Linked DNA regions of Stegostoma tigrinum. The protein of the gene in region 4 interacts with the protein of the main gene of each other region in a pairwise test. Links are inferred from orthologs where the notes say so. Each region holds a gene or a part of one and is shown on either strand. Other genes may lie near its edges.

The links.
Region 1: the proteins of golga2 (region 4) and rbm17 interact in binary tests that used the Homo sapiens proteins (3 or more experiments, as listed by UniProt). The two-hybrid records come from large-scale screens. The link is inferred for Stegostoma tigrinum from reciprocal best matches to the Homo sapiens genes GOLGA2 and RBM17.
Region 2: the proteins of golga2 (region 4) and msrb3 interact in binary tests that used the Homo sapiens proteins (3 or more experiments, as listed by UniProt). The two-hybrid records come from large-scale screens. The link is inferred for Stegostoma tigrinum from reciprocal best matches to the Homo sapiens genes GOLGA2 and MSRB3.
Region 3: the proteins of golga2 (region 4) and coiled-coil domain-containing protein 150-like interact in binary tests that used the Homo sapiens proteins (3 or more experiments, as listed by UniProt). The two-hybrid records come from large-scale screens. The link is inferred for Stegostoma tigrinum from reciprocal best matches to the Homo sapiens genes GOLGA2 and CCDC150.

Annotation. Positions count from the first base shown.
Region 1 is NC_081378.1:5,885,755-5,893,218, forward strand, and holds the start of rbm17 (splicing factor 45), read left to right. Parts: upstream 1-4,443; 5' UTR 4,444-4,537; intron 4,538-4,557; exon of another isoform or gene 4,558-4,686; intron 4,687-7,464. Other genes in the region: echdc3 (enoyl-CoA hydratase domain-containing protein 3, mitochondrial), read right to left, coding at 988-1,109, 2,175-2,356. UniProt on the Homo sapiens protein: Splice factor that binds to the single-stranded 3'AG at the exon/intron border and promotes its utilization in the second catalytic step. Involved in the regulation of alternative splicing and the utilization of cryptic splice sites.
Region 2 is NC_081371.1:39,159,282-39,166,697, reverse strand, and holds the start of msrb3 (methionine-R-sulfoxide reductase B3), read left to right. Parts: upstream 1-4,394; 5' UTR 4,395-4,489; coding exon 4,490-4,613; intron 4,614-7,416. UniProt on the Homo sapiens protein: Catalyzes the reduction of free and protein-bound methionine sulfoxide to methionine. Isoform 2 is essential for hearing.
Region 3 is NC_081367.1:33,931,536-33,939,085, forward strand, and holds the start of coiled-coil domain-containing protein 150-like, read left to right. Parts: upstream 1-4,530; 5' UTR 4,531-4,742; intron 4,743-5,032; 5' UTR 5,033-5,159; intron 5,160-7,550.
Region 4 is NC_081382.1:36,886,004-36,893,325, forward strand, and holds the start of golga2 (golgin subfamily A member 2), read left to right. Parts: upstream 1-4,319; 5' UTR 4,320-4,386; coding exon 4,387-4,434; intron 4,435-7,322. UniProt on the Homo sapiens protein: Peripheral membrane component of the cis-Golgi stack that acts as a membrane skeleton that maintains the structure of the Golgi apparatus, and as a vesicle thether that facilitates vesicle fusion to the Golgi membrane.

The DNA.
Region 1 (7,464 bases), on a different chromosome or scaffold from region 4:
AATCGGGGGTTATTGGGGATAGTTGGGAATGTGGAACAGATCAGCCACGGTCTTATTGAACAGTAGTGTCGGATTTAGGGTCTGAATGGCCTACATATGCTCCTAAGTTGTATGTTACTCATAATTCAGTTCCCCGCGTGATTTTTACCCTGTTTCTTCTCTCTGGAGAAGCTAACTTTTTCCTGGGATATGGTTTTGCTGCAGCTATACTCCCCCCTCCCGCTGGTGGTTGTCCCAGGTTTCCTGTGTGAGGTTTGACAGTTGTCTCCTTTGCATGTTCCAGCCCACAGCCTGCTCCCGAGCTTACCTAAACCCTGAATCAATGCAGAAGACAGAAACCAGGAGCTGGAGTGAGCACTCACTAATTTGCCACTATATCTCCCAGAGTGATTTATAACGCCTCAATTAGTGCACTACATGGGATCATCTAAGCCAGTAGAATCGTAGAATCGCAGAGGCCTTCGGCCCATAGAATCTGTACTGTCAAAAATATCACCAGTACAACACTAGCCCCACAGCCCTGAATGTGACGACATTTCCAGTGCTCATCCAAGTACTTTTTAAAGGTACAAAGAGAGCATTCATAGTATCCCTACTGCGTGCAAGCAGGCCACTCAGCCCATCAAGTCCACACCAACCCTCCAAACAGTATCTCACCCAGATCTACCCTGCATTTCCCATGTAGAATCTATGTCTACTGTATGCTATGACCAATTTCCCATGGCCGATCCACCTAGCCCGCACATCTTTGGACTGTGGGAGGAAACCGGAGCACCCGGAGGAAACCCACGCAGACACGGGGAGAATGTGCAAACTCCGCACAGACAGTCGCCCGAGGCTGGAATCGAACCCGGGTCCCTGGCGCTGTGAGGCAGCAGTGCTAAGCACTGAGCCACCGTGCCATCAGTCTCATTTCCCTAGCTTCGTTTTACTTTACCCCATGATCTAAGTAGGTGTGTTAAATGTTAAAACCCATGCTGGAATTACCTGATATGACAATAACGCGCAGGTCATTGCTTTCTGCTTCGTGGAGGAGGTTGGTGCGCAGAGATTCCAACATGGCCAGCGACAGAGCATTCCTCTTCTGTGGGTTATTCAGAACGATGGACCTAGACAGGAGACAAACTATTTTCTAGAGACACACTGACAATGGAGGCAGCCCAGAGATACCAGGAAGGGAGGGACTGCTTTATGAGGCGACGTTCAGTAGGTTGGGCCTGTACTCACTGAAATTGAGAGAGGAGAAAGGTGACACCCCATTGAAACATACAGGTTTCTTCAGGGGCTCAACAGGGTAAATGCTTAGAGGATGTTTTCCATCATGGGAGAGTCTGGGTTCACACAGTATCCCCTCAGAATGAACGGTTGGCAATTTGAGACTGAGATGAAGAGGAATTTCTTCTCTCAAAGGGTTGTGAGTCTTTGGGACTTCTTGCCAACATGAAGCTGCGAGGATGGAGTCCTTGTGTATATTCAAGGCCGAATAAGTTCTTGGCCAGTTGAGGAGTCAAAGTTTATGGGGAAAATGCAGGAGAGTGAATGTGAGGAGTGTTGGATCGGCCATGATCTTATTGAATGGAGCAGGCTTGAGGGGCCGAACGGCCTATTCCTGTTTGTTACGCCCTTGGCAAATCTTAAATATCTCTGTTTTGTTGTCCATTTAGGAAAGCAGCCTCTTTGACTTTGCATTTGAACACCTCCCACAAACTACTGCTCAAGTCTTTCGTAACTGGATTGGCCCCCTGTGTTTGTTATTCCCTGAACGGGGGCATTTCCGGTGAGGGCAGCATTTATTGCCCCTCCCTAACTGCCCACGGGGTAGCTGAGGGCCAACCACATAACAGTGTGCCAGGAGCCACAGGATGGCAGTTTCCGTCCCCGAAGGATATTGGTGAACCAGATGGGATCAGCAGCGACGAGTTCAGGGTCAGATGTTTTCTTTTTGTACTGTTCCACCATCCTCCCCGGGCGGGATTCGAACCTGAGTCCCCAGGGCATTCGCAGAGGTCTCTGGATTGACAGTCCAGCGATGATACCACCGGGCCACTGCTTTCCCAGCTCTGCAGAAGGCTAGTATTGCCAACCCCATCCCAATTTACCCGAAGAAGAACAGTGCCCTGAACCTGTGTAATTTCTAGTGGGTAGCGTCTGGGTCAGTCCATGCCCCCACCAACCTGATCCCATCCTTCTGAGTTCTGACAGTCAGTTTATCACATTGAGCTCTTTCACTGGCCCAGCGGCCTGGTGTATAAATAACCGATACATTTCCCGTGGTGCCTGCCCCCTGGAAAAGCCGGGTGGAGGGGGCTCTTCTCATTTTCCTGAAACATCTCGCAGCAGCGGCCAAGCTCCCCATGGTGCCGCCACCCCTGTTCAGACAACACAACAGTCCCAACACAACCTAAAACTCACACTTAAAGTTCCACCTACTTTACAAGTCCGGGCCAGGATTTTGCTCGCTTTTTCTCATTTTTGCTTTGGGGATGCAGCGGCCCAGTGGTGTTATCGTGAGACCATTCATTTGGAGACCCAGGTAATTGTTCTGGGGGCCTGGCTTCAAAATTTGTCAAGGCACACAGTGGAATTTGAATTCAATAAAAATCTGGAATTAAATGTCTAACGACGACCATGAATCCATCGCTGATCGTCAGAAAAGTCCATCTGGTTCACTAATGGAAACTGCTCTGGCCTATATGTGACTCCAGACCCACAGCAATGTGGTTGGCTTTTAACTGCCCTCTGGGCAATTAGGGATGGGCAATAAATGCTGCCTAGCCAGTGATGCCCACATCCTGTGAATGAGTATAAATAAATCATAAATGCTGTTTTGTTGTAAATTATAATTTTCCCAATTTGACCATGTTTCATTTTCTATTTGATCTGCTTTGATAATACCTCGCAAAATAATACGGCTCATTTGTTTCAATGGACTTTCACTGCCCTTTTCACCTCGAAATATCTCACTTCAAACACTTCCCCAAACATTGATACTAATTTATTTTTAAAATTTTAGAGTCCCGAGGGGGAGGTTTTGTAGTACAGCAGGTAAAGCTCTGAGTTCAGGTCCCGATGGCCATGGAAGGGTACCGTAATACAGTCCACAGGGTGATTATCAGTCTGCAACATGGACTAATCTGATGGAGGTCCATGATTATCAATACCCTCCTTAGGCATGATACTTCACAGAAATCATAGAAACCCTACAGTGCGGAAGCAGGCCATTTGGTCCATCAAGTTCAGACTGCCCCTCTAAAGGGCATCCCACCCAAACCACCTTATAACCCTGCATTTTCCATGGCTAACTGGCCTAGCCTGCCTATCTTCAGGTTGTGTGAGGAAACCCATACAGACACAGGGAGAATGTGCAAGCCTTCACACAGGCAGTTGCCTGAGGGTACAATTGAAACCCAGGTCCCTGGCGCTGTGAGGCAGCAGTGCTAACCGCTGAGCTGCCATGCTGCACTTGAAAAGTGAGTGAGACAGTCGGTGTGTCCGGAGTCACTCATTGATCAACTCCCAAAGAACAGTTGACCCATTGTGGCTCAGTGACAGCGCTTCTGTTTCTGTGTCAAAGTTGGGGCTTAACCACAATCAACTGGCCTCTGGTGCAGTACTGAGGGAAAGCTGCACTGTCGCAGTTCGTGAGGTGCTCGCGGCCTGTTTTTTTACCCCTCTCAGGTGATTGTACAAGATCCCATGGCATCATTTAAAAGAACAGCAGGAGAGATTTTCCTGTCGTTCAAACCAACATTGATCCCTAAAGCTGTGCAACTAAATCAGACTTTCCTGTCTATCTATGGGACCTTGCTAGTGTCCAATACAACAATGACTGCCCTTTCCTTCATAAAAAATGCATAACTGGCTGTAAACTGTTTCAGGACCTTCTGCTGCGGCTCACAAAAACATTCCTTATCAAGTTGCAAGACTTTCAAGTGAAGAACACAAAGTTGGCACAGTTTCCATTCTTGCATGTTACCTGTCAAGGGTGTGAGGAGAAAGCAGGAGTTTGGCAGTAGGTAAATGATGAAGAAGCAGGTAATTCTCACAGCCTTTAAAAATCACTTGGGCCATGGGCGAGTTGGTGACGGGGAAAACAAAACATTCAGCTGTATGTAAGAGCAATTCTGGTTAAGTTTTTTAAAAAAGAAGTACGTGAATGACCACTTGAAATGGTACTCCATTCAAACGGTGGATCTAATGCTCAAGGACAGATGCGAGGCTGAAGGCAGACTTGACCGTGATGCTTGCTGCAGTCGAATTGCCAGGTGCACTGACTGACCAAGTGGATAGATGGACTGTCTCCAGCGTGTGTGCGTGTAATTGAGGTGGGGGTGTGGTGGATGTGTAAATATATTTTAAAGGGATAAAATTTTAAAAAACTGTAACCCGAGGGTGAACACAGTGGGTTTGCGGGCGGACAGCTGCAGCTTTCGGTTTATTGTTGTGTGCGGCGGGGGAGGGACCGTTTCTGCGGCGGGGCCGCTCCGTGTTTCCCCCCGGAGCCGCGATGTGGATGGACCCTGGGCCCAAGCTTCCGGTGAGCAGCCGCCGCGCTCAGGGCCTCGCGGGGCGAAAGGACAACAACAACCCGCACCCCCCCCCCCCCCCAACCCCCACACCTTACCCCCCTCCCCCTCGGGGGGACAGAGACAGAGACAGAGACAGAGGGGGCGGCAGCAGGAACCGGTGAGGGGTAGCGCGCGGCCCGGAGGGAGGGAGGGGGGAGCTGCTGAAATTGACGCCGAGGATTTAGGCCTCAGCGCGGCCCCGCGTCAGACTGGAGCCCCCCCCCCCCCACCTCCCGCCATCGTCACCTTAATATTTATCTTCAAATTACGCCCCCCCCGGTCTCGATTCCCCCCCCCGATTCCCCCTCACCCCCCCCCCGATTCCCCCTCACCCCCCCCCCGATTCCCCCTCATCCCCCCCCCCCGATTCCCCCTCATCCCCCCCCCCGATTCCCCCTCATCCCCCCCCCCGATTCCCCCTCATCCCCCCCCCGATTCCCCCTCATCCCCCCCCCCGATTCCCCCTCATCCCCCCCCCCCCGATTCCCCCTCATCCCCCCCCCCCCGATTCCCCCTCATCCCCCCCCCCCGATTCCCCCTCATCCCCCCCCCCCCGATTCCCCCTCATCCCCCCCCCCCCGATTCCCCCTCATCCCCCCCCCCCCGATTCCCCCTCATCCCCCCCCCCCGATTCCCCCTCATCCCCCCCCCCCCGATTCCCCCTCATCCCCCCCCCCCGATTCCCCCTCATCCCCCCCCCCCCGATTCCCCCTCATCCCCCCCCCCCGATTCCCCCTCATCCCCCCCCCCCGATTCCCCCTCATCCCCCCCCCCCGATTCCCCCTCATCCCCCCCCCCCGATTCCCCCTCATCCCCCCCCCCGATTCCCCCTCATCCCCCCCCCCCCCGATTCCCCCTCATCCCCCCCCCCCCGATTCCCCCTCATCCCCCCCCCCCCCGATTCCCCCTCATCCCCCCCCCCCCCGATTCCCCCTCATCCCCCCCCCCCCGATTCCCCCTCATCCCCCCCCCCCCGATTCCCCCTCATCCCCCCCCCCCCCCGATTCCCCCTCATCCCCCCCCCCCCGATTCCCCCTCATCCCCCCCCCCCGATTCCCCCTCATCCCCCCCCCCCCGATTCCCCCTCATCCCCCCCCCCCCGATTCCCCCTCATCCCCCCCCCCCCTCATCCCCCTCATCCCCCCCCCCCCGATTCCCCCTCATCCCCCCCCCCCCCGATTCCCCCTCATCCCCCCCCCCCCCGATTCCCCCTCATCCCCCCCCCCCCCGATTCCCCCTCATCCCCCCCCCCCCGATTCCCCCTCATCCCCCCCCCCCCCCGATTCCCCCTCATCCCCCCCCCCCCCCCGATTCCCCCTCATCCCCCCCCCCCCCGATTCCCCCTCATCCCCCCCCCCCCCGATTCCCCCTCATCCCCCCCCCCCCGATTCCCCCTCATCCCCCCCCCCGACTCCCCCTCATCCCCCCCCCCGATTCCCCCTCATCCCCCCCCCCGATTCCCCCTCATTGTACCCCCTTGCCTCTCATTGATCCCTCTTGCCTCTCATTGATTCTCCCCTCCCCCTCCCTCCATTGATTTCTCCCGCCTTTATCGATACCCCCCATCATCCCTAGTCCCTCCCTCGTTTGCTTTTTGATTGATTGGTTTTATTGTCAGGTGTCATGAAATATTGTGAGAAGCTTTGTTTACGAGCGGTAAAGGAAGCTCACAGCAAGCAAAGGGGGTACAGATGAAAAAGACTTGGAGACATACAGGTTACATTGTTGGAGGGTAGAGTCCATTCATCACTTTCACAGTTCTTTTCTAAAGCCACATTTCATATCCTACTCCTCCTACAGAAAAAAGCTGTTTCTGAACCTGCTTGTGTGTGTGTTGAGGTTTCTGTATCTTCTGCCTCATGGAAGAGGTTGTAGGAGATCATTACCAGGTTGACCCTTCTTGACTGTTGCATCTGTGTGGGAAATCCAGGACAGGTTGTTGGTTATCATCTCTCCGACAAACTTGATGCTGTTCCCTCTCTCAACCTCAGTTCTGTTGATGTAGGTGGGGGCGTGTTCTCCTTTCTTTCTGAAGTCCATAATCACTTCTTTAGTCTTGTCGATATTGAGAGACAGATTATTTTCATTGCACCTCTTCACCAAGTCCTCCATTTCCCTTCCGTACTTTGACCCATTGTTGTTAGATATCTGTCCCACTATGGTGGTGTTGTCAGCGAACTTATAGATAGCGTTCGTTCCGAATTTGGCAACACAGTGTAGGTGTACAGGGAGTACAGTAGGGGGCTGAAGATGGATCCTTGGTGGGGGTGGGCAGGGTTCCAGTGTTGAGTGTTATTGCGAAGGAGTTAGCCATCCTCACTGATTGCAGCCTATGGGTCAGAAAGCTGAGGACCCAGTTGCAGAGGAGCCAAGATCAATGTCATGGAATTTTGAGATCAGCCTGGAGGGGATAATGATGTTGAAGGCAGACCTGTGGTCCATGAGCAGGAGTCTGACATAGGTGTCTTTGATGTCTAAATGCTCCAGGAAGAGTGCAGGGCTAGGGCATCTTCTGAGGACCTGTTATGTTGTGGGCAGACTGTAGGGGCTTGAGGCACCACATTGACTCTTTGGATGACATTTTAAATCCCTATCAGTCTACTTCCTGTTCCTCAAACTCTTCAATATTGCCAGCCTCACTAACTCTTTTTCTTCTGTGTGGCTGCTTTGAATATAAAACAATTTACCCACTGGGAGATCACTGAACCTTTCTTTATATATTTAGTCTTAAATTGCACAACCTGTTAGCCACATCTGAAAATGATTGAAATTAAATCAACTGATACTTGTAGTTTTTATCACTTTGAATACAGTTATTAAGTAGTGTAGAGAATTATCTGTCTGGGTGATGTGGTTTTAGAAGGGCCTTGAATCCAAGACTTTGTGACCGGAGGCA
Region 2 (7,416 bases), on a different chromosome or scaffold from region 4:
GACCCTCAGAATACATGAACATCAGCTAGAAACAAAACGACACAATGAACTTTCCTTAGCATCAGAGTACTCAGACAACGAAGGCCATCAGCTTAACTGAGACAACGTAACCATAGTAGCCCAAGCCAGAGATAGACATGCACGGGAACTCCTAGAAGCATGGTTCTAAACCCATAATACAACCAACAAACGTACAGAACTGGGCTTCATATATGAACCCATACAGAAAAAAACCAGAAATGACACTACTCACCATAGCAGACCAGACAGTATAAATTCCAATCAGTGTCGAACAACATTGCTTCATTGGAGGCCGCACTGGTGATATTACTTATCATGGTGACAAAACATCTGAATGAAGGGTCTAGGCCCAAAACATCAATTCTCTTACTCCTCTGATGCTGCTTGGCCTTCTGTGTTCATCCAGCTGTACACCTTGTTATCTATGAACGAAAACAAGCTAGCTTGGCAAACAAGTCAAAAACCTCACCCACAACCCAAGTTACAAATCTTTGCTGAAACTTTAGATTGATAATTGTGTGGTCCTGCCATGGAAGCAAGTAAGAGAAGGTCAAATTTGGTCATTCTACGTCTAACACCTTTATTTGTAATGCTATTGGAAACATTTCTTCTAAATGGTCTAAATGTATTGTGAGATAAAGTATTTATTTGAATGTAACTGTTCTTGCTCTTTATGTTCCCTCACTTTTTTATAGTGTCTCTAGAAGCATCTCATGGCAAGGTAAACGATGCCAAAATGTGATAACAAGAACGTTGTGGCAGGCTGTAATGTGATGGAAGATCGTCCCATATTCTGCTCCATGGACAAATGTGTCAAAGTTGGATGTGGCAACTAATAGAACAACTGAGCTTTTAGGTTGCATGCCACATGTTGTTGCAAAGCTGCAAAAGAAGTCAATGCCTATGCCAAGACTGCCCAAAATCCTAAAGGTAGCCTGATTGCATTGTACCTACAAGAGTTCACAGTCTGTAGAGGGACTATTTAGAATCTTTATTTGATGAGATTGTGAGGCATTTTGTTCACAACATGACATGCCGGGCCACTACTGAAGGTATACTACATCAGCTTTCTATGCATATTAATTTAAAGGCATCAGAATATGCAGATGTGTGCTACAAATATCAGTGTCAAAGAATTTAATAAGAGGGAAGTGTGCTGGTGATCAACAATAGATAATCATGAGATGCTTATATTTAACAATAAAGTGCCGTTAAAATTCTATCATTGTTGTACTTGTAAATTTTTAGTGTAGAAGAGGGAAAACAAATGTGAGACTGGGAAGAATTCTTTTATTGACAGCTGGAAGAAAGATTTCAGTCCTTTGGCAGGCAGGTAGTGGTGGCCCTGGAGAGAGTTGGGTGAGCTTTATTCAGTAGCAGTCAAGAAAGCTTGAGATCGCTCAGCCAGCTACCAATAAACCACCCTGCAAAAGTAAGATCCATGGTACAGCTTCATCTCAAGCGAAATGGTCTTTTGTGGGGAGTGTGGTCAAACAGAGAGACCTAGCAGTATAGGCACATAGTTCCTTGAAAGTGGCATCACAGGTAGACTGGAGGTGAAGAAGGCAATTGGCACGCTTGCTTTCATTGGTCAGAGCATTGAGCATGGAAATTGGGGCATCATATTACAGCTGTAAAGACATTGGTAAGGCCACATTTGGAGAGCTGCATACAATTCTGGTCATCCCGTTACAGGAAACATATTGTTAAACTGGAAAATCATGCAAAAAAGACTTACAAAGATGTTACTGACATTGGAAGGCTTGAGTTATAAGAGGTTTAATATAGAGATTAATAAAATCATGCAGGACATAGATAAGGTGAATAGCCAAGGTTTTATCCCAAGGATAGGGGCGTCCAAAACTAAAAGGTAAGGTTTAATGTGAGTGGGAAAAAATATAAAAGGGACCTAAGAGGCAATTTTTTCATGCAGTTATGTGGGTAACACAGGAAAGTGGAATTGAGTATTATCAGATCAACCATTACCACACTGAATGGTGGAGCACTCTCGATAGGCTGAGTAGCCTATTTCTGTTCTTACATCCTGTGGTTTTATAGATATAGACATAGAATCCCTACAGCTTGGAAGCAGGCCATTTGGCCCATCAATGCCATGTCAAACCTCTGAAGAGCTTCCCATCCAGACGCACCCCTACCCTATCCTTGTAACCCTGAACTTCCCATGGCTAATCAAATTATTGATTGATAAGAGGTTGCAGATCTGAACAAGACTACAGAGTATGGAAAGATGAGACTGTGGTGAGATTCAAACACAAAGATGAGATTTGAAAATTTGAGGCCAATGCCTGCCACCAAGCACATGGATAATAGTAGTATGGGCCTGAACATCTCTGGACACTATGGGCAATTTAATATGGCAAATCAATCTAATCTGCATATCTTTGGACTGTGGGAGGGAACCGGAGCACCCAGAGGAAATTCACACAGACATAGGACGAATGTGCAAACTCCACACAAATGGTGGCCTGAAGGTGGAAATGAATCCAGATCCATGGTACTGTGAGGACCTGCTCAAAGTTTCCTCGTACGCATCTGATTAGTAAATTCCTCAAACAGGACTGCTTCCAATGCAAGTATATCCCTTCTTACACAAAATGCCCAAACTGTATACCGTACTTTAGGTGTGGTCTTACCAATGCACTGTATATTGGTAGCAAGACTTCCTTACTGATATACATAATTTCTAGTGCAATAAAGGGCAACATTCTCTTTGTCATACTAGTTACTTGCAGTACCTGCATACAGACCTTTTGTATTTACTCTATAAAGATAGAACAGTTCCTCTGTACCACAGCATTCTGGAGGCACTCTTTATTTGAATAATTCTTTGCATTTCTGTTCTTACTTCCTAATGGCAAACCTTACATTTTCCAACTGCCAAATACACCATGTGCCAAATTTTTGCCCACATATTTATCTAAATTGCTCTGCAGCATGTTTACATCCTTCTCACAACTTTCTTTCTAACCATCTTCATATTGTCACAAACTAAACTCATAACGAAAAATATGGAGTGAGATGCCGAGCAGTACAGAGGTCTAAGCAGGGAACATCAAAATGTGGGACATTAAGTGCTGATGACTTCAGAGAAAGAAATTCAAAGTGCACAAGAAGCAAGATTCAGAGAATCACAGAGTTTCATAAGCGAAATTTAACAGACAAGAGTTGCAGAGCCTTCATCCAAGTCACTTTAATGTGGATCGGGAATAATTGAAGGCCCAGCTCTGATCCTTGCTTATTAGTTTTTAGTTTGCAAATCTGAATGGTAATCTATTCATTCCAATTCTATACTTTCTGTTGGTTCAGAAGTCCTCTATCAATGCTAAAATATTGTCCCTGACAATGCATGCTGGTATCTTGTGTAACAGCCTTTCAAGTGGGACTCTATCGAATGCCTTTTGAAATCTAAATATACTATGTATATTGGTTCCTCTATATTCAACCTGATTATTATATTTTCAAAGAACTTCAATAATTAATTGGTCAAATGTAATGGGCTCACCTAAAAATTTTATTGCCTGTAGCCCATCTTCTGCAAAGTCCCATACAACCATTATTCATGTTCTTGCTGACATGCATTGGCCTCAATTTTTTAAAATCTCATCTTTGTGTTCGAATCCCACCACAGTATCACCTTTCCATACTCTGTAGCCTTACTCAGCTCTGCAACCCCTTATCAATCAAAAATTTGTTGAACACAACTTATCAAATTCTGTGACTCTCCAAATCTTGCCTCTTGTGCACTTCCAACTTCTTTCTCCCAAGTCATCAGCTGTGACTGCCCCAAACTCTGATGTTTCCTGCCTAGGCCTCTGCACTGCTCTGCATCTCTCTCCATATTTTTGCTGCCACTTAAAACCTCTCTGATCAATTTTTTGTTCCTGTACCTCCTTCCTTGGCCAATTGTCTGTTGCGATCTTGCGAAGCATTGTTAAAGGTGCTATAGCAAGAAATTGCTTTACAAAATTTTAAAGTATATTTAAAATTGTAATACATCCCCGCAAAAATACATTGCCTCAACATCCACTACCACATCTTCAAACTTGAACTGTGACACCAGGCTATTTCAGGAATTGAATATTTGTCAAAAAGAAGTTCAATTTTTCCCCCTTTATTTGAGAGGTTTAACGTGTTGCAGTTGATAAGAAGACACGTACCACTGCAGGAATTTTGAAATAAAACCAAATTTTAATCATTTAAAAAGAAACAAAAATATTAGGTAAGGTACTGAACATTTCCTTTTTAATTCACTAACCTTCTGCGCTGCGTTAAAAGAAACTACCTAATTCTTATGCTAGAGCCTCTCTTTAGCCAAACATATCCACATTTTTTTTTGTCTAACACATCAGCAAAAACATTGGCAAATAAGAGGGCCATTGACGGTGGCCTCTGTCCAATGGTCATATTTGGAGTTGTAGGGTAGAGGAATTTCCCACAGTGCTTCTTGATGTATTATCTAACCAACAGAGAAGCTGAGAGGAAGAAGTCAATGAGTCGAAGTGGAGTCGACCGTCCTCAACTACTTGTCATTATTCTGCTGCTTTTGAGCTTGTTTGCAGTCCAGGCGCCAGGTAAGGGGCCCCGAGAAAAACACTCGAAACAAACTGGTGTGTGCTGTGGACGATTGTTAACTGCGGAGCTCGGGGAGTTAAGAAGATAAACAAACGCGTCGACTTTTTAAAAAGAGTGTGAGCAAATGCCCAGCCAGCTTCATTTTCTTTCTTCTCTTCCCGGTTATCTGAAAAACAGTGTTCTAGTTGATGATTTTCAGAGCTGGGTGATTGGTATTTGTTTCTGATTTTTCTTGTGCTCCGATAACCACTTCCTTCGCAGCTTGAGCAGTTCGAACAGGCCAAATGGTGGAGCTACACGCTCTCTCATCCTATGGCTCCCGTTGACATTCGCTCGGATGCTAGCAGTGCGGAGGATTAACTGCGCAACACATTGGGAGAGATACAGAAGCTCGCTTTTTGTTGTGGCCGCAGCAATGAGAACTTACATAAATAAACATGGCAGAAACTTGAACTGATTGTCAGAGGCAGGAATTAGCAGAGCCTCTTTTTCTTTTCCTTTTAGCTGAATGCCAGTATGAAAACTTCGTGAACCCAAAAGCTGCTAAAGTTTTATTTGCACTTCAGCTTCCGAACACTGCAGCCCCGTGCTGGACTTTGTAACATGATTGTTGTATCCACCGAATTATTGGTAAATACTCCACCATCCCCCGCCCCCCCCCCCCCGGCATTAGAATTAAATTAAACCAAATTACACGTGCACAAGCCAAATCCAGGTTAAAATTGGAATTTACAAGACATGTGCAGATCTGACTCGGCCTGTTCAAAATCCATCAGCTGTATTTCAGTTGATATGCTGCTATTTAAATATGGATTTCATGGAAAAAAGGCTAAATGGGAAATACAGTCCTTAGTCCAATTAAATTGTGACCATTAGAATAAAAGTGTCTTCTGCTTTTGATTATACAAACTTTTATTCTGTTGCAATTCTTATAATGCAATTGAAAACGCATTTTGAGAAGGTATTTCACATTATATATTCATTTCAATGTCCGATATTAAAAATATTTTATGATTAACAACCTTTATCTCTTCCAGTTTTAATTTATTCTGATAATCAATGAAAGATGTTGATAATGAAATAATTACTGTATTTGTTTCTCCCTGTTAATTTTATCTTTATGAAAGCAGAGTTGGAATATGATTCCATGAGTAGTGATGATCTTCCAAAATCTTGCTCAGTTGTCCATACTCTGATGCCCTACACCTCAGCTAAGTGGCCTGTAGTCAACATCGGCAGGCTGTTCATTTAGTACGTGAGGCATCAGAACATGTCTTTGAATCTATAAATATTCATGTTTAATGATAGCAATTTGAAAAGGAGTTCTTGGTGACAGACATGCTACAGTAAATGAAATGACACTCTTGACAGCTCTTTAAAGATAAAAACACCAACAAAAACCTTCTAAAGCCTGTGTAGAAGTAGGAAAAGGGAAAAAAAGTTCATTTTTAAAGCACTGAAAATATGACGTGCTTAAACTATCTTCCATAAATGTTCTTCTAAATTTGATGAAATTTTAAGGATAGCTTTACAAAGTGAAGCTTCTGACGTGGACCATGACTGTACAGGTCGTAGAATTGGCTTGTGCCTTGCATTTGGGCAACATGCTGGGGGCATATGTTTGAAAATTACGTCTTTAATTACATCTGTTATACCCAATACTATACATCTATTATACATTGGATCAATGAACACTATATTGCGGGATAGATTGAATTTCAGTTTGTCACTAGGGTATCAATGAAATGTAATGATGAATGAGTGAAATTTTCATATTATGTACACTTTAGCCAAAAATGTTCAGCGTTACAATTATAGCATTTGTCCTTCCAAAGTTTAAGTTGTGTGTGTGTATAGAGAATGGCTTGAGCTGTAAAACTCTTGGGTGAAATACTGCTGATAATAGTAATATGGACAGTTTGTGGGCTATAAATTAAGAATATTGGTTAAGAGGTCTTTGAGTTTCTGAGCAATTTTTATTTCCCTCCATTGCGGATTGGCATAATCGCTACCTGTGTTAATGCCAGAGTTTATGAAAGATGTGTGTGATAAGTTGAGAAAGGTGCAGTGATATTTCGTATATTGCAAACAACATTATGATTGTTTACCAATCCTGCTGCATATTTGCCCCTTGCCAGGGTCTATCATTTCTTAGAGTTTTTTAAGCAAACTTGAACTCTCTTGTACGTTTTTTTTATCCCTTTTGAATGAAAAATTAATGCATATTTTCAAGCTTCCATAATTTGTCCAACATGTGTAAATATTCCTTTCTGTGCAGAATTATATTAGGTATTGTGAAGAATTTCTTATAGTTAACAGATGACCAGAACAAGATATGTAAATTCACAATATTCTCTAGTTATAATCTTAAAAACAGGCTGCGGAAGAACCTATGTTATTTCAGTATTTTAGCTTGAGTGACCCTTTGTCAAACAACTTAACAATTATGGACTGCTGCCTCTTGTCCTGCATCTAAATTATAATATTGCAATTCCCTAGTATAAGTGCATGTAAAGAATCTTACAGGTGATGGTCTTGTGCTGCTCTGGTAGCTCTGAGCTAGAACGTTTGGCTCAAGACTCACCTCAGGATATGATGGACACAAGTTGATTTTTTAGGAGTATTTCAATAGTGGTTTGAAGAAAATGGGTGTTGTTTATGCATATCAATGTAAATGCTTTTCATTGCAGAATCTGTGACTCATTGGCAGGAGACCTGAAAGAGCAGAACCAAGGGAGAGCAAAACACAAAAAGTATTGAAGGAGGAGGGGGGAATGCAGGAGTAATGGAAAGACACAAGAC
Region 3 (7,550 bases), on a different chromosome or scaffold from region 4:
CTCTTCTCCTGCTGGAACATAGAAGAAAAATGTTAGTGGCTACACAAGAGCAAATGCCATACCAAAATGCCTTAAATGCTTGCTACTAAATCTGTCCAATTGCATGCATGAGGAACTTGGTGACTCTGGGGCCATCTTGTAGGATCTGACACTGTCAGGCTCACACCCTATGTCCGAACTTCAGCTATTTATTTCCATGGAAAATCTGTCACCTCTTCCCATTGTCATCAACATGCTAGGCTCTCCCTCTCTAGTAAGCACACCCTCACACATGTCTAATTTCTGCCTCCAAAGAGAATTGTGATGTTGGGTACTCACCCTTGCTGAGCATAGTATATTGTTAACAGACTTATGGTTCTGCATGAACATTCTCCAGACATTTCCATGGTTGCTTACCTTCTCTACTGCCTCCACCCAAAATGTTTAGCTAGGTGGGGACATCTCCAACTTCTGTTCCTGTATTGCCCAAGCAGCCCAAAAAAGAACAGGCATGGAATCATCACTGAACCAATGGACATCTAGAATCTTGCTTCTGCCATGCTGATGAATATTCTTCTCTTAAGACTTTCTGCTGAGGAAGCTGGGGGCGACCATTTGTAACTGGAAGCTGCAGAGATCACTGGTAGCTGGACACTGGAGGGGTAACTGGTAACGGGACACTGGAAGTATCATTAATAGCTGAATGTTAGAGGGGATCATGAAAAGCTGGATATTTGCAGGCCTATTTTCAGAGGCTGGTATCTGTAAGGATTGCTAAGGCTAATGTTTGGTGAACTGTAAGCCACATTAGCCAGTGCAAGATTTCTACTGGAATGAGAGTCAGAACTGGAGGGCCTCTCTCATCCATTTCTGGTTTTGCCTTCCTCTTCATGTAAAATCCTCACCAGCAATACAATTTCGAATTTCTTCCAATTTAATATGTTCTATTTACTACCCATGTTGCAGTCTCTGCTTTATTGGGAAGACCAAACACATACTGATCACTTTGTGGACCAACCTAGTTCAGTTTGCATGAACCCAAGTTTCAGTCATTTGTCATTTTAATTTTCCATTTTATTCCCAATCTCACTCTGACCAATAAAGCTAAACGTAAAGCATTGTACTTCATCTTTTTACAAAGACATTTTCCATCATGGCTCAGTAGGTAGTATTCTTACCTCTAAATCATAAGGTTCTGGGATCAATTCCAACTCCAAAGACTTGAGCTCAAGCATCAAAGCTAGCAGTTCACTATAGGATGAAACATTAAACCAAGAGTTGGGTGGCACAATCGTTAGCACTGCTGCCTTACAGCACCAGGGACCTGGGTTCGATTGCACCCTTGGGTGATTGCCTGTGTGGAGTTTACATGTTCTCCCTGGGGTTCCTCTATGTGCTCCGGTTTTCCCCCACAGTCCTAAGATGTGCAGGTGAGGTGCTAAATTGTCCATGGTGTTCAGGGATGTGTAGATTGGGTGTGTTATAGGGGAATGTGCCTGGGTGGGATCCTCTGAGGGTCAATACGGACTTGTTGGGCTGAAGAGCTTGTTTCCATTCTGTAGGGATTCTATCCCATAGTATTATTTTGAGGAAGCAGAACAGGTGGGTTATCCTCGGAGTAGTGGCCAACATATATTCTTCAATATGGAGCACACAGTTGCACAATGATTAGCACTTCTCCCTCACAGCCCTAGGGACTTTAGTTTGATTCCAGTCTTGGGTGACTGTGTGGAGTTTTCATGTTCTTCTTGATTCTTGTGAGTTTTCACTGGGTATTCCCACAATCCGAAGATGTGCAGGTTAAATGGATTGGCCAGGATAAATTGCCTCTATGTGTCCAGGGATATGCAGTCTAGGTGGATTAGCAATGGTAATTGTGGGGTTACAGGGATCTAGCAGCAACGATGAAGAAAAAAAGTTAACGTTTTCAGTTTAATGACCTTTCATCGGAATTGGTCACTGATACAGATGTAATGGCGTTAAGAGAAACTGGAGATGCAGAAGTGAGAAGAACAAAAGGGGTCTGTGATAGGGTGGAGGTTGGATTTGATTAAATGATGAAATGAATAATAGTGTAACATCAAAGAGAGTAGGAATTACATGGGCATACAACTCACTCTGCTGCCTGTGTTTCTACTCATGATGTAGGTTGTTGTCAATATACTCTAAGTACAGGAAACTATAAGGCCTACTTGGTCTGGCTAGTGTGTTAGGGGAGAACAATTTCCTGGCGTAACTAGAAGAATCTTATACCTTATACAATATAGTTTAGTGTATAACTAGTCATAGATTACATCGATATTACATTGTTAAAGACTTTGAGGAAGATCCAGCTGATTAGGTCTCAATCCTTTGAAATTATAAGATGTTCTACCCACAAGTCATATGACATCACTGTGGATGATAGAGTCATACAGTCATACCACACAGAAACACACCCTTTGTTCCTACCAATCCATGCTGATCCATAATTCCAAAATAAAGTCGTCCCACCTGCCTGCGCTTGGCCCATATCTTACCAAAAATTTCTTGTTCATGTAGTTATGCAAATGTTTTTTAAACGTTGTAGCTGCGCCTACATTCACCACTTCATCTGGGAGTTCATTCCACACACAAACCACTCTCTATGTAAAAAAAATCACCCTCATGTCTTTTTTAAATATTTCTCCTCTCACCTTAAAAATACGTTGCCTAGCCTTGAAATCCCCCACCCTAGGGGAAAAAGACACCTGCCATTCACCTTATCTACACCCTTCATGATTTTATAAACTTCCATAAGGTCACCCCTCAATCTCTTACACTCCAATGAAAAAAAAACTCATAGCCTATCACTTCCAACAACTTAGCTACCACCAAAGTCAGACTCAGAGGTCTTTAGTTCCAAGGCTTTTCTTTGCAACCCTTCTTAAACAAAGACACAACATTAGCCACTCTCCAGTCATCCAGCACCTCACCTATAGTGATAGATAATAGAAACATTTCTGCAATCGCAATTTCCCCATAACTCAAATCCTTCATTCCCAGCAAAATTCTGGCAAATCTCCTTTGAACCCTCACCAACTTAAAAATTTCTTTCCTATAACAGGGTGGCCAGACTGGAAAAAGTAGTCCAGAAGAGGCCTCAACAATGTCCTGTACAACGTCAACATAACATCCCAATTCCTATACTCAAAGGCCTGAGCAATGAAGGCAAGCATGTTAAATGCCTTCTTAACCACCCTATCTTTATGTGATGCAAATTTCAAAGAACTATGCACCTGAAACCCTAGGTCTCTCTGTTCTGCAACACTACCCAAGGTGCTATTTTTAATTGTATAAGTCCTGTTTTTGTTTGTTTTACTAAATTGCAATGCATTGCATTTATCCAAACTAAACTCCATTTGTCACACTTCAGCCTTTGACCCGTTTGATCAAGGTCTCTTTGTACTCAGAGATAACCTTTTTCACTGTTCATTATATCTCTAGTCTTGGTGTCATCTGCAAACTTACTAACCATGTTTTCTATATTCTCATCTAAATCATTTATATAGATGGCAAATAAAGTGGGCCCAGCAGCGATCCCTGTGGAGCACTGCTGATCACAGGCTGCCAATCCAAAAAAAACCCTCCATCATCATTCTCTGTCTCCTGTCATTAAGCTAAATATGTATACAATTGGCAAGTTCACCCTGAATGCCACATGATATAAATTTACTAATTAGGTTAACATGTGGAACCTTACCAAAGGCTTTCCAAAAGTTTAACTAAACAATGTCTACCACTTTTGCCCTCATCAATCTTGGTTACTTCCTCAAAAAACTTGATTAAGTTTGTAAGATACCAGTTCCCTTGCACAAAATCATGCTGGCTGTCCCTAATTACTCCTTGCCTCTCCACGTGCATAGAAATCCTAGCTTTCAGAATCACTTCCAACAACTTAGCCACCACCAAAATCAGACTCAGAGGTCTTTTGTTCCAAGGCTTTTCCTTGCAACCCTTCTTAAACAAGGGCACAACATTAGCCACTCTCCAGTCATCCAGCACCTCACCTATAGGTGATAGATAATAGAAACATTTCTGCAATCGCAATTTCCTCCCCAACCTGCCACAAAGTCCTTAGATACACTTGATCAGGTGCTGGAGATTTATCCATCTTTATATTTTCTAAGACCTTCAGCATTTCCACAAATGATGACAAAACCTCTGTCATTCTCCTCACATATTTTCTGAGGGTTGAACGTTAAGAGATTGCACGGTAACCCGAGGTGAGGTTGAGCAGAGAGCTGTGCAGCAGGAATAGACCTGGGGCAACACAGCAGTTCAGGCAGCATCAGAGGAGCAGGAAGGTTGACGTTTCGGGTCGGGACTCTTCGTCAGGAATCTTTCCTACTCCTCTGCTGCCTGGCCTGCTGTGCTGTCTCTGACTCTAGCATCCGCAGTTCTTGCTACGTCTGTGTGAGTGATAGACCCCGGGGGTCAGCTGTCTCGGGTGGCGGTCTTTCGGTTGGAGTCGTTGGGTGTTTCCAGGGTAACCAGAGGCAGGGCCTAGCGCCGCCTTCTGTCGGCACACCAAGTCGTTGCTTTGCTTTCGCTCTCGCAGAGTGGGCAGTTTGGACAAGGCGCTGCACTCCCTTTTAACGAGGTTTTTTTAAAAAAATCACTGTGCACTATGTTTTACTTTCTAAAACTCGGATCGAAGACTACCGCATCCTGCCACTGTTGAATTAGTTTGAAATCTGCACTGTTTACGAACCCTCGGACGAGGTTGATCAGCAGTGAGCTAAGTAATGTCATGAGGCCTTTGCTGATGTACCCCCTCTCACGGTCTGCCTTGCCTGCTCTACTGTGTCACTTTTTGCTTTCCGGCCCTTGAGCTGCAACGCACTTAATGTGCGTGCAGTGTGTGTAGATGAAACGGTTTCCCGTCTTCAGCGACGGTGCTCGAACAATACTGTGGCTGCTAGGGGCTTTGGTTTGAATATGCATTATACTGTTACTTACAAGGGTCTCGGTGAAGTGTAACTAACAATCGGAGCCAGTCCCTTTTATTTATATGTGTGGTATTTTTTGACAGAGTGAATTGGAGGCTGGAGCTTTGCTTACGTAACGATAACCCTTTTGCTGTGAGAGGTGTGCACCGGAAGCTACAGTGGGAATTCTAAGTGAGAAATTGGTCGGAAGGTGAAACGTTAACTGAACGGGTCAGTTACCTGCACTGATACTGTCCAGACTTTTTCCCCGTCGACTTTGTTAGTTGTTAGTGTCGCCACATTTTTTTCAACGCGCAGGAAAAAATCAATTCTAAGAATACAGTTGAATGGAAGAGCATTGTAATTTTGTAATTTATCCAAATGTTCACATTTTAAAGGTAGAACACAGCGATTTAATGTTTTGAAACTGGTCTGAATCCTGTTTCTGCCGAATAGATTGTTATAATTCACACTTAATTATGTGTTAGGACGTGTCATAGAATCTCTACAGTGTGGAAGCTGGCCATTTGGCCCATCGAGATTACACCATCCCTCTGCATAACATCTCACCCAGACCACGCCCTTACCCTGTGTCTGTAACCTTGCATTTCCCATGGCTAACCCACCTCATTTACACACCCCTGGACATTATGGGCAATTTAACATAGCCAGTCCACTGAACCTGCACATCTTTGGAGTGCAGGAGGAAACCAGAGCACCTGGAGGATACCCATGCAGACACAGGGAGAATGTACAAACTTCACACAGTCACCCAAGGGTGGAATTGAATCCTGGTCATAGCCACTATGAGGCAGCAGTGTTAACCACTGTGCCACTGTGCCTCCATGTGTGTTTAGAACCATCTCATATCAGACTGTTTGAGTCAGCTTGAGAGGCAGTTGGAGTCACTGGGGAGCATACAGAAGACACAGTATGTGGTGGTTAGTAGATTTAGAGAGGTGGTCACACCACAGGTCCAGTCAGATAGATGGGTGACTGTCAGGAGAGATAGGAAGGTAGTGCTGGAGTCTCCTGTGATTATTCCTCGTTCAAACAGATATACTGTTTTTGGCTACTATTAGGGAGATACTCTCTCAGAAGAAAATAGAAGAGGCATCCAGATCATGGAAACCAAGAATGACCCTTCTGTTAAGCAGGGTTTCTCAAGATTCAAAAGGGTAATTGCTATAGGGGCACTGACAGGAGATTCTGTGCCCATAGAAAACAGAATGGTATGTTGCTTCCCTGGTGCCAGGGTCATGGACGTCTCAAAGGGCTTGCAGCATACTGTAAAAGGGGAGTGTGAAAAGCCAGAAGCTGTTGTACACATTGGTAAGAACAACTTAGTTAAGGAAAAGGTTGAGACTTTGCAGAGTGAACACAGGAAGTTAGGTAGGAGGTTAAAAATCATAACCTCAAAGGCAGTAATCTCTGAATTACTTTGGGTGCCACATGCTAGGGAGAGTAGGAATTTGAAGATAGGGCAGCTAAATCAATGGCTGAGGAGCTAGTGCAAGGGACAGGGATTCAGATTTTTGGTTCATTGAGACCTCTTCTGGGGCAGAAGAGACCTGTTCAGAAGGGGTAGTTTTCACCTGAACTGAAGGGAGACTAATATCCTGGTGGGGAGGTTTGTTAGTTCTATTTGGGAACCTTTTAAACTAGTGGCTGGGTGGAGATCCTAAGTAGAATGTGACAATAGAGACATAGATGTGGAAGGTTCTGAAGCTGAAGAGAGCAAGTTAATTAGAAAAGGAAGGCAAAAACAAGCCAGAGAGATAGGTAAATCTGAAGAGTTAAGCTGCATTTATTTCAATGCAAGGGTCAACAGGTAAGGCAGTTGAACTCAGGACATGTATGGAAACATGGGAGTGGGACATCATAGCTGTTATAGAAACATGGCTGAGGGAGGGACAGGACTGGCAAGTCTGTACCAGGGCTGAGATGCTATAGGAAGGATAGAAAGGAAGGCAAGAGAGGAGGGGTAATGGCATTTTTGATTAGGAAAAACATCACTGCTGCACTTAGCTTAGAGTGATCGTCCAGTGAAGCTCTGTGCGTGGAACTCATAAATAAGAAGGGGATGATCACCTTGACAGGATTGTACTGTACTCCCTCCAGTTGTCAGTTGGGAGATGAGAAGCAAATATGTAGAGATATCTCAGATATATGTAAGAATAATAGGGTTATAATCATAGGAGATTTTAACTCTCCAAACATAGATTGGGACTGCCATAGTGTTAAGGCCTAGTTGGTGAAGAATTTGTTAAATGCATTTAAGAAAATGTTCTTTATTAACATGTGGATGTGCTAAATAGAGAAGGAACAAAACGTGACCTTGTTTGGGGAAATAAGGCAGGCAAGTGAATTAAATGTTAGTGGGGGAGCACTTTGGGACCAGTGATCATAATTCTATTAGTTTTAAAGTAGCTGTGGAAAAGGGTAGACCTTTTATAAAAGTTAAAGTTCTTAATTGAAGTAAAACACATTTTGACATATAAGTCAAGAACTTTCAAAAGTTGTTTGGCGTAGTATGTTCACAGGTAAAGGGACGACTGGCAAGTGGGAGGCTTTCAAAAGTGTGATAATGAGAGTTCAGAGACTTTATGTTCCTGTTAGAGT
Region 4 (7,322 bases):
GTTTGTACTAGATATTAGATCACTCTCCGCACTTTTTGAAACAAATTTAATACCTGTTCATCTATGAGTGATTAATGTGGCAATTAAATTAATTTTCTTCAGGGTAGGCAGTAATATCTTTTTCGTTTGCTCAAGAAAACATGTAATTTAGCACCTTAATTTTAATGTGGTTAATCACATTTCAATTCAAGTATGTTAACTACATACTAAAAACAGTTGCTGCACCAGCCCAAAGGGTGTTAAAAAATATTTGTTGGTTCCCCCTCCTCACCTGGTCACAACATATCCTCCTGGGATTGTGAAATTTACATAGAAGTAGCCTGTTACCATTACATATGCGAGCATTGGAAAATGTTAACATGAATTGAAAGGGTAGTTGAAGCAGAAACACTCATAACACTGAGGAAATATTTACATGTGCATCTGCGATGCCAAGGCTTGCAAAACTATGGGAAAAATGTTTGAAAATGGGATTAGAATAGTTAAGGTCCTGACCCAAAATGTCAACTTTCCTGTTCCTCCGATGCTGCCCGGCCTGCTGTATTCACGCAGCTCCACACCGTGTTATCTCTGACTCCAGCATCAACAGTTCTTACTATCTCTCGAATAGTTAGGAGGTTGTTTTTGACTGGCACAGACTTGATGGGCTAAAGGGCCTTTTTCTGTGCTGTAGACCTCTAGTTTGCTAATATTACTTAATTGATATCTCAGCTAAAAATAAGAGTGATATGAAAGTTTGAGGTACTAGTGACCTACGCTTGTGATTAAATCATTTAGGCTTTGTAATGTTACCTTGACATTGCCAGACCTACAGGTAAACACATCCTTATGAATCTTGCTGCTCAGTGATGCAATGGGTTTTGAATTAGTTGGGAGCAATCCTATGCCTTTAACCATTACATCAAATCTAGAATTTTGTTAGTTTGAAATTATTCATGGAAACGTGAACATTTATGAGTTTATGAATTTACGAGTTATCCTCATTCTATCCTTACACTGGTCTTACCATGAAGCTGTTTCCGTTTGAGCTCGATAATTTGGGATAGGGTGGTAGAGAAAATAACAGGTCCAGGATAGAGGGACAGAATGTGAAGGTCAGAGCCAGGCCATTCAGGAGTGAAGTTTGAAAACAGGCCTTCATGCAAAGGGTTGTACGTGTGTAGAACACACTCTGACAATAACAGTTTGTACCAAGTAGCCCAAATAATACATTTGAACCAGGAGTAAAGGGTTTTTGTTCGAAGGGGTATTACGGGACAGACCAAGGCAGGTAAATGGAGTTACTGTAGCTGAGAAATGCAGAGAGAAATCAACATTAACATTAGAGATCTACCAAATGTCTAAAACCAGTGGGGAAGAAGCTGTTCTTCAATCTGTTCATATGTATATCCAAATGTATATATCTTTTGCCTGATAGAAGAGGGTAGAAGAGAGCATAACCAGGGTCGGAGTGGTCTTTGATTTTGTTGGATGCTGGAAGTCAGAAAGAAAAACAGATGTTGCTGGAGAAACTCAACATGGCAGCATCTGTAGAGAGAAAGCAGAGTTAATGTATCAGGTCCAGTGACCCTTCTTCAGAACTTTTCCCACCCCTCTGTCCTTTTACCGGAACTTGACCTGTTTCTCAAGAACTATCAATGTGATACCCTCTAAACTGACCATACGCTGTGTTCCCAGATCCAAACCTGACTTGGGAATCAAGCCTGCTGACAAGGCGGATGTTTCTGTTGACTGGCATACTGATCTCTACATTGCAGAGGTTGAGTGCCAGCTCTCAAACATCTCGTCCTGTCTCCCCTGGACCATGACCCTACCGTGGAACATCAGGCCGTTATGTCCACCATCATCAAGAAGGTTATCATTGAGTACAGAAGGATCTTGACCTGATGGGCCAATGGGTCAAAGAGTGGTAGATGAAGTTCAATTTAGATCAATGTGAGGTGTTGTATTTTGGAAAAGCAAATCAGGGCTGGACTTATACACTGAATGGTAATATCCTGGGGAGTGCTGCTGAACAAAGAGACCTTGGAGTGCAGGTTCGTAGTTCCTTGAAAACAGAGTGGCAGATAGACAAGATAGTGAAGAAGGCATTTGGTATGCTTGCCTATTTTGGCCCATGCATTGAGTATAGGAGTTGGGAGGTCGTGTTGTGGCTGTACAGGACATTGATTCAGCCACTTCTGGAATATTGCCTGCAATTCTGGTCTCCCTCCTACAGCAAGGGTGTTGTGAAACTGGAAAGGGTTCAGTAAACATTGACGAGGATGTTGCCAGGGTGGGAGAGTTTGAGCTGTAGGGAGAGGCTGAATAGGCTGGAGCTATTTTCCCTGGAGGGTCGGAGGCTGAGGGGTGACCTTATAGAGGTTTATAAAATCACAAGGGGCATGGATAGGGTGAATAGCTAAGGTCTTTTCCCCAGAATGGGGGAGTCCAAAACTACAGGGGCGTAGGTTTAAGCTGAGAGTGAAAAGATTTGAAAGGGACGAAAGGCCAACTTTTCCACATAGAGAGTGGTGTGTGTGTGTGGGATGAGCTGCCAGAGGAAGTGGTGTATACTCATACAATAACAACATTTAAAAGACATCCGGATGGGTATAGGAATAAGAAGGGTTTTGAGCGGCCTGGGACAAATGTTGGCAAATGGGACGAGATTAATTTAGTATATCTGGTCAGCATGGGCGCTTTGGACTGAAGGGTCTGTTTCCGTGTGGTATATCTCTATGACTATTCTAATTTGATCCGACAATTCCATTCCACTGCCTCCAAACTCATTAATCTCCAACTTCACACAGCCTACTTCTACCTCCATCCCAAAATTCACACACAAGACTGCACAGGCAAACACATTATTTTTGCCTGCTCCAGTTCCATGGGACTCATTTCTTCCTGTCTGAAAACAATTTTTTTTCCTCCCCTTGTCAACTCCCTTCTTATTTATACCTGTGAATCTTCTGATGTTTTACATTTTTAATCAGAATTTCCAGATTACCAGCTCCAGCCACCTCCTCTTCAACATGGCCTAGTAATCCTTTACACATTTCTGAAAAAGGGTCAAAAATAGAAATTGCTGGGAAAGCTCAGCAGCTCTGGCAGCATTTGTGGAGAGAGAGCAGAATTAATGTTTCAGGTCCAGTGACCCTTCTCCAGTGACAGGCAGAGTTTCTCCAGTTTTTTTTCTGTTTTTCTTTCTGATTTCCAGCAACCAACAAAGCCAAACGATCACTTGACCTGAAATGTTCATTCTGATCTTTCTCCACAATGCTGCCTGATTGGCTGAGCTTTCCCAGCAATTTCTATTTTTGACCCTTTTTCAGAAATGTGTAAAGGATTACCAGGCCATGTTGAAGAAGAGGTGGCTGGAGCTGGTAAACTGGCAATTTTGATTAAAAATGTGAAACATCAGAAGATTCACAACTGCGACAAAGCGCCATGGCTACCTGCAAACAATGTCGAGCTATGTGTCATCAATCACACTCAGAAATAAACAAACTCGTTTGCATCAATCAATCTGTCAGTAATAAAGTAATTAATATACTCCGGGGATCAATTGCAGTCAGTAATAAACTCAGACTCTGGCGCATCCATCTCATTTACCAGTAAACACATCATAGAAGTAGAAATGCTGGAGAAACTCAGCAGGTCTGGCAGCTTCTGTGGAGATAACATTGAATTAACATTTCGGGTCTAGTGACCCTTCTTCAGAATAAAAACCTAAGGAACTTCAGATGTTGTAAATCAGAGACAAAAACAGAAATTGCTGGGAAAGCTCAGCAGCTCAAGCAGCATCTGTGGAGAGAGAGCAGAATGAACATTTCAGGTCGAGTGACCATTTGGCTACATCGGTTGCTGGAAATCAGAAAGAAAAACAGAAATGACTGGAGAAACTCTGCTTGTCACTGGACTGGAAACATTCATTCTGCTCTCTCTCCACAGATACTGCCAGACCTGCTGAGTTTCTCCAGCAATTCTACTTGAGTCATGAGTTTATTAGTAAATGAGATGGATGCCCCAGAGTCTTAGTTTGTTAATTACTTTATTACTGACTGCAATTGATCCCCGGAGTTTGTTAATTACTTTATTACTGACTGCAATTGATCCCCGGAGTTTATTAATTACTTTATTACTGACTGATTGATTGATGCCCCCGAGTTTGTTTATTTGAGTGTGATTGATGACACAGAGCTCGACATTGTTTCTAGGTTGCCATGGCACTTTGTCGCCGTTGCGATGATGTCACAAAACCAGCCCACTCGTTGCGTTGTCGCGTCACAAAGATCGTCGGTACGTGTCGCCGAAGCCCCGCCCCTCGGCTGTCGGGGCCTGGTGCAGGCCGGGATACTGGAGGAGTCCGCTAGCTGCTTGGTGACGTGTGCGGGCCCGGATACCATGGCCGACGGGAGCAGACGGGCTAAGCTGGCGTCTGCCAAGAAGAAGGTGAGGGACAGGGTGAGCGGCAGACTGCGGAGGCTAAGGGGGAAGAAGCCAAAGCTCCGTGATCGACTGTCGGAACTGTTTTCCTTTTCCCCTCTCGGGGTGACCGGCTGATCTACCGCCTGTCCGCTGGGGGAGACGGTTCGGTGCGAGTTCGGGGCCCCCACGGCCTATGCGCCCCGAAGGGAGGGTTAGCAAGTGACTCTGGGGCCAGGGGCTGCGGCCGCCGCTTTCTCCGGTCCCCCCGGGAGGTGGTATCGCGGTGTCAGGCGGGGGTGGGGTGGGGCGGGGAGAACAACCCCGTTCCCCGCGACCCCTTCTCCCACCGCAACCCTGCACTCCCGGTTCGCTCCACATCCTTCTCCCCTCCGGCTCCCCATCCACATCCTTCTCCCCTCCGGCTCCCCATCCACATCCTTCTCGCACCCCCCCCCCCCCCCCCGTCCGGCTCCCCACTTCTCCTATTTATTCCCCCCCTCCGGCTCCACACTTCTCCTATTCTTCCCCCCTTCCCCCCCCCCCCCCGGCTCGCCACTTCTCCTATTCTTTCTCTCCCCCACCCCCCCCCCCCCACCACCCTCCGGCTCGCCACTTCTCTTATTTCCCCCTTCTCGCACCCCTACTATTCCTAGCCCTGGCTCACCCCCATCCCTCTCCCACATACCCTGTTCTTCTCCCTTCTCCTAGTACTCTGTCCACCCATCCCTGAGCTGCAGTGCCAGTTTGGGGGGAGAATTTACTCGCTGTGGCTTAACTTGTTCTCCACCACCACCCTCTCCCAAATTCTCTAGGCACAGTGTTAAAGGTGGACGAGAATAAAGAATCCTACTGTGTCCACCACTACCTTGTTCCCATGCCTCTGGGGCTTGGCATCAGCACAGGGATGTGGGAGAATTCTACTTCTCCTCTCTTCTCTCCTTCCCTCCCCCCCCCCCCCCCCCCCCCTTAACCTACCTCCACCCTAGCGTGCAGTGCCCGCCTGGGAGGTTTTGTGGTAGGGAGTCGAGAAAGAATCCTGCTCTGACCACAGTGTCAGTCTGTGAGGGTGATCTCTATTCTGTCTTTGACCCTGGGCACAATCCTAACCTGTCGGAGATAATCTCTACCCTGTCCCCCACCCTGGACACAATGTCAGCTACTGGGGATGATCCCTACCCTATCCTTGCACCGTCAGGCCCACAAGGTACAAGTCTGCGTGTGAAAGGGGTAAAGAGAGGTGGAATTGTAGCCCGTTACCAACTCTCTTTCCTGCACACTGCTAGCCTGACTGACATCCCAGCCTGCCTTATCACCCCAAGGTACTATGCCAGACTGGTTGGGGAGAAATCCTACTTGCTTAACCCTAATATGTGTGTAATGTCTGTCTGAGCGGAGTCTATCATATGCCCCACTCTCCTGACCACTCCATACACTTCCCCAAATTTCCTTTTGCATAAGTCACCACTTTTAGTACAGATGCAAGAATGATGCTCCAAACTTGATGAAAAACCTCTGCTCAATTGTTTACAGATATCCCAGTGATTGTCCTCCTGGGAGGAGTAGGCCTCTGTGGATCAAATTGGCTCAAAGATTACCCCCCATGATAAGGGGAATCTTTGAAGTTCATTTTCTTTGGCATTAACTCTCAGCCAGCAAATGTGCCTTACTTTCTGGCTGCTGTTGATGATTAAATTGACTGACTCGTCCAGCTCTCTTGATGGAGGTGTCCTCCCTGTTTTAACTGTATAACCATTCAAGTTAGTCCTGCTATGCAGACAGGTAGTGGGAATATTCCTAATGCTCTTGACAAATAAGCTGTTGGTTTTAATTAAAGCCAAGGAGTAACTGTGTTCTTAACTAGCTGTTACCAATCTATGCCAACATTACATGGTCACGTATATTTCATACAACACAAACAGTTAACTACATGGATTGATTTTGGACATTGCATGAGTTGTTTGCACATCTGGCATGTGCAACCGACCGAGGTATGGATTAGTTGTATGCAATATTAAATAAACAACTGACGTTCTCTAAAAGGAAATGCATTGCTTCTTATCTTCTTTATTGTGTCAGATTGTTGGCTGTAAATTTCGCGTATAAAATAATAATAAGGAAAACCACCTTCAGATTCCCTAAGGTTTGCATTTGTATAGCATATTTCATTATCTCAGTGCCCCAAATGGCTTTACAGCCGCTGAAACATTTTTGAAATATGGCACGCAGTTTTACATACAGCAAGCTCCCACAAATGGAGATATGATGATGACTGACGTCTCATTATCTGTTGATTGAAGGCTTTGAGGATATGATGGGTGCTGTGCAAGTGTTGATTTCATATTGAAAGGGTTTTTTTCTGTGAGCTACTGCATTTTTGTCAGCAGGAGTATCTCAGTTAGGGCTGGTTCCCTCTTGCTTTTGTACGTGTGATCGGAACAGTACTTTTGGTATCTATTTAAGTTGCTAATAGGAAATTCAGCAACTTTTGCCAAAAAATTCTCTGATTCCTTGAACTTCTGGCACATCTGTTCTTTAATTCATTTCTTTTATCTTCTGGCTTTAAATCAGGTCACTACAATAGTAGCTGTATTGACTGGAACGTTATGAACTCTTGATGGATTGGATGACAAAAATGATATTGAAATAATCTGTTTTCATGATAGCTGGCGCAGACATGTCAGGACACTTATTTCTTTCCGTGTTGCAGATCTTAATGGGTTATTTTGGAAGTTGGTCATGTTTTGGATTTGTCAGTTAATCACATAATTGGTCAAAGTGCTGCTCCCTCCTTTTACGATTCAGAAGTTCAATTTATCAAAAGTTATCAGCTTGCCAGAAGTAGTGTGGAAGTGAGTATCAAGGTGGTAAAGTCTTGGTACTTTGTATCAAATGCCCTGGAATTGAAATTCTCA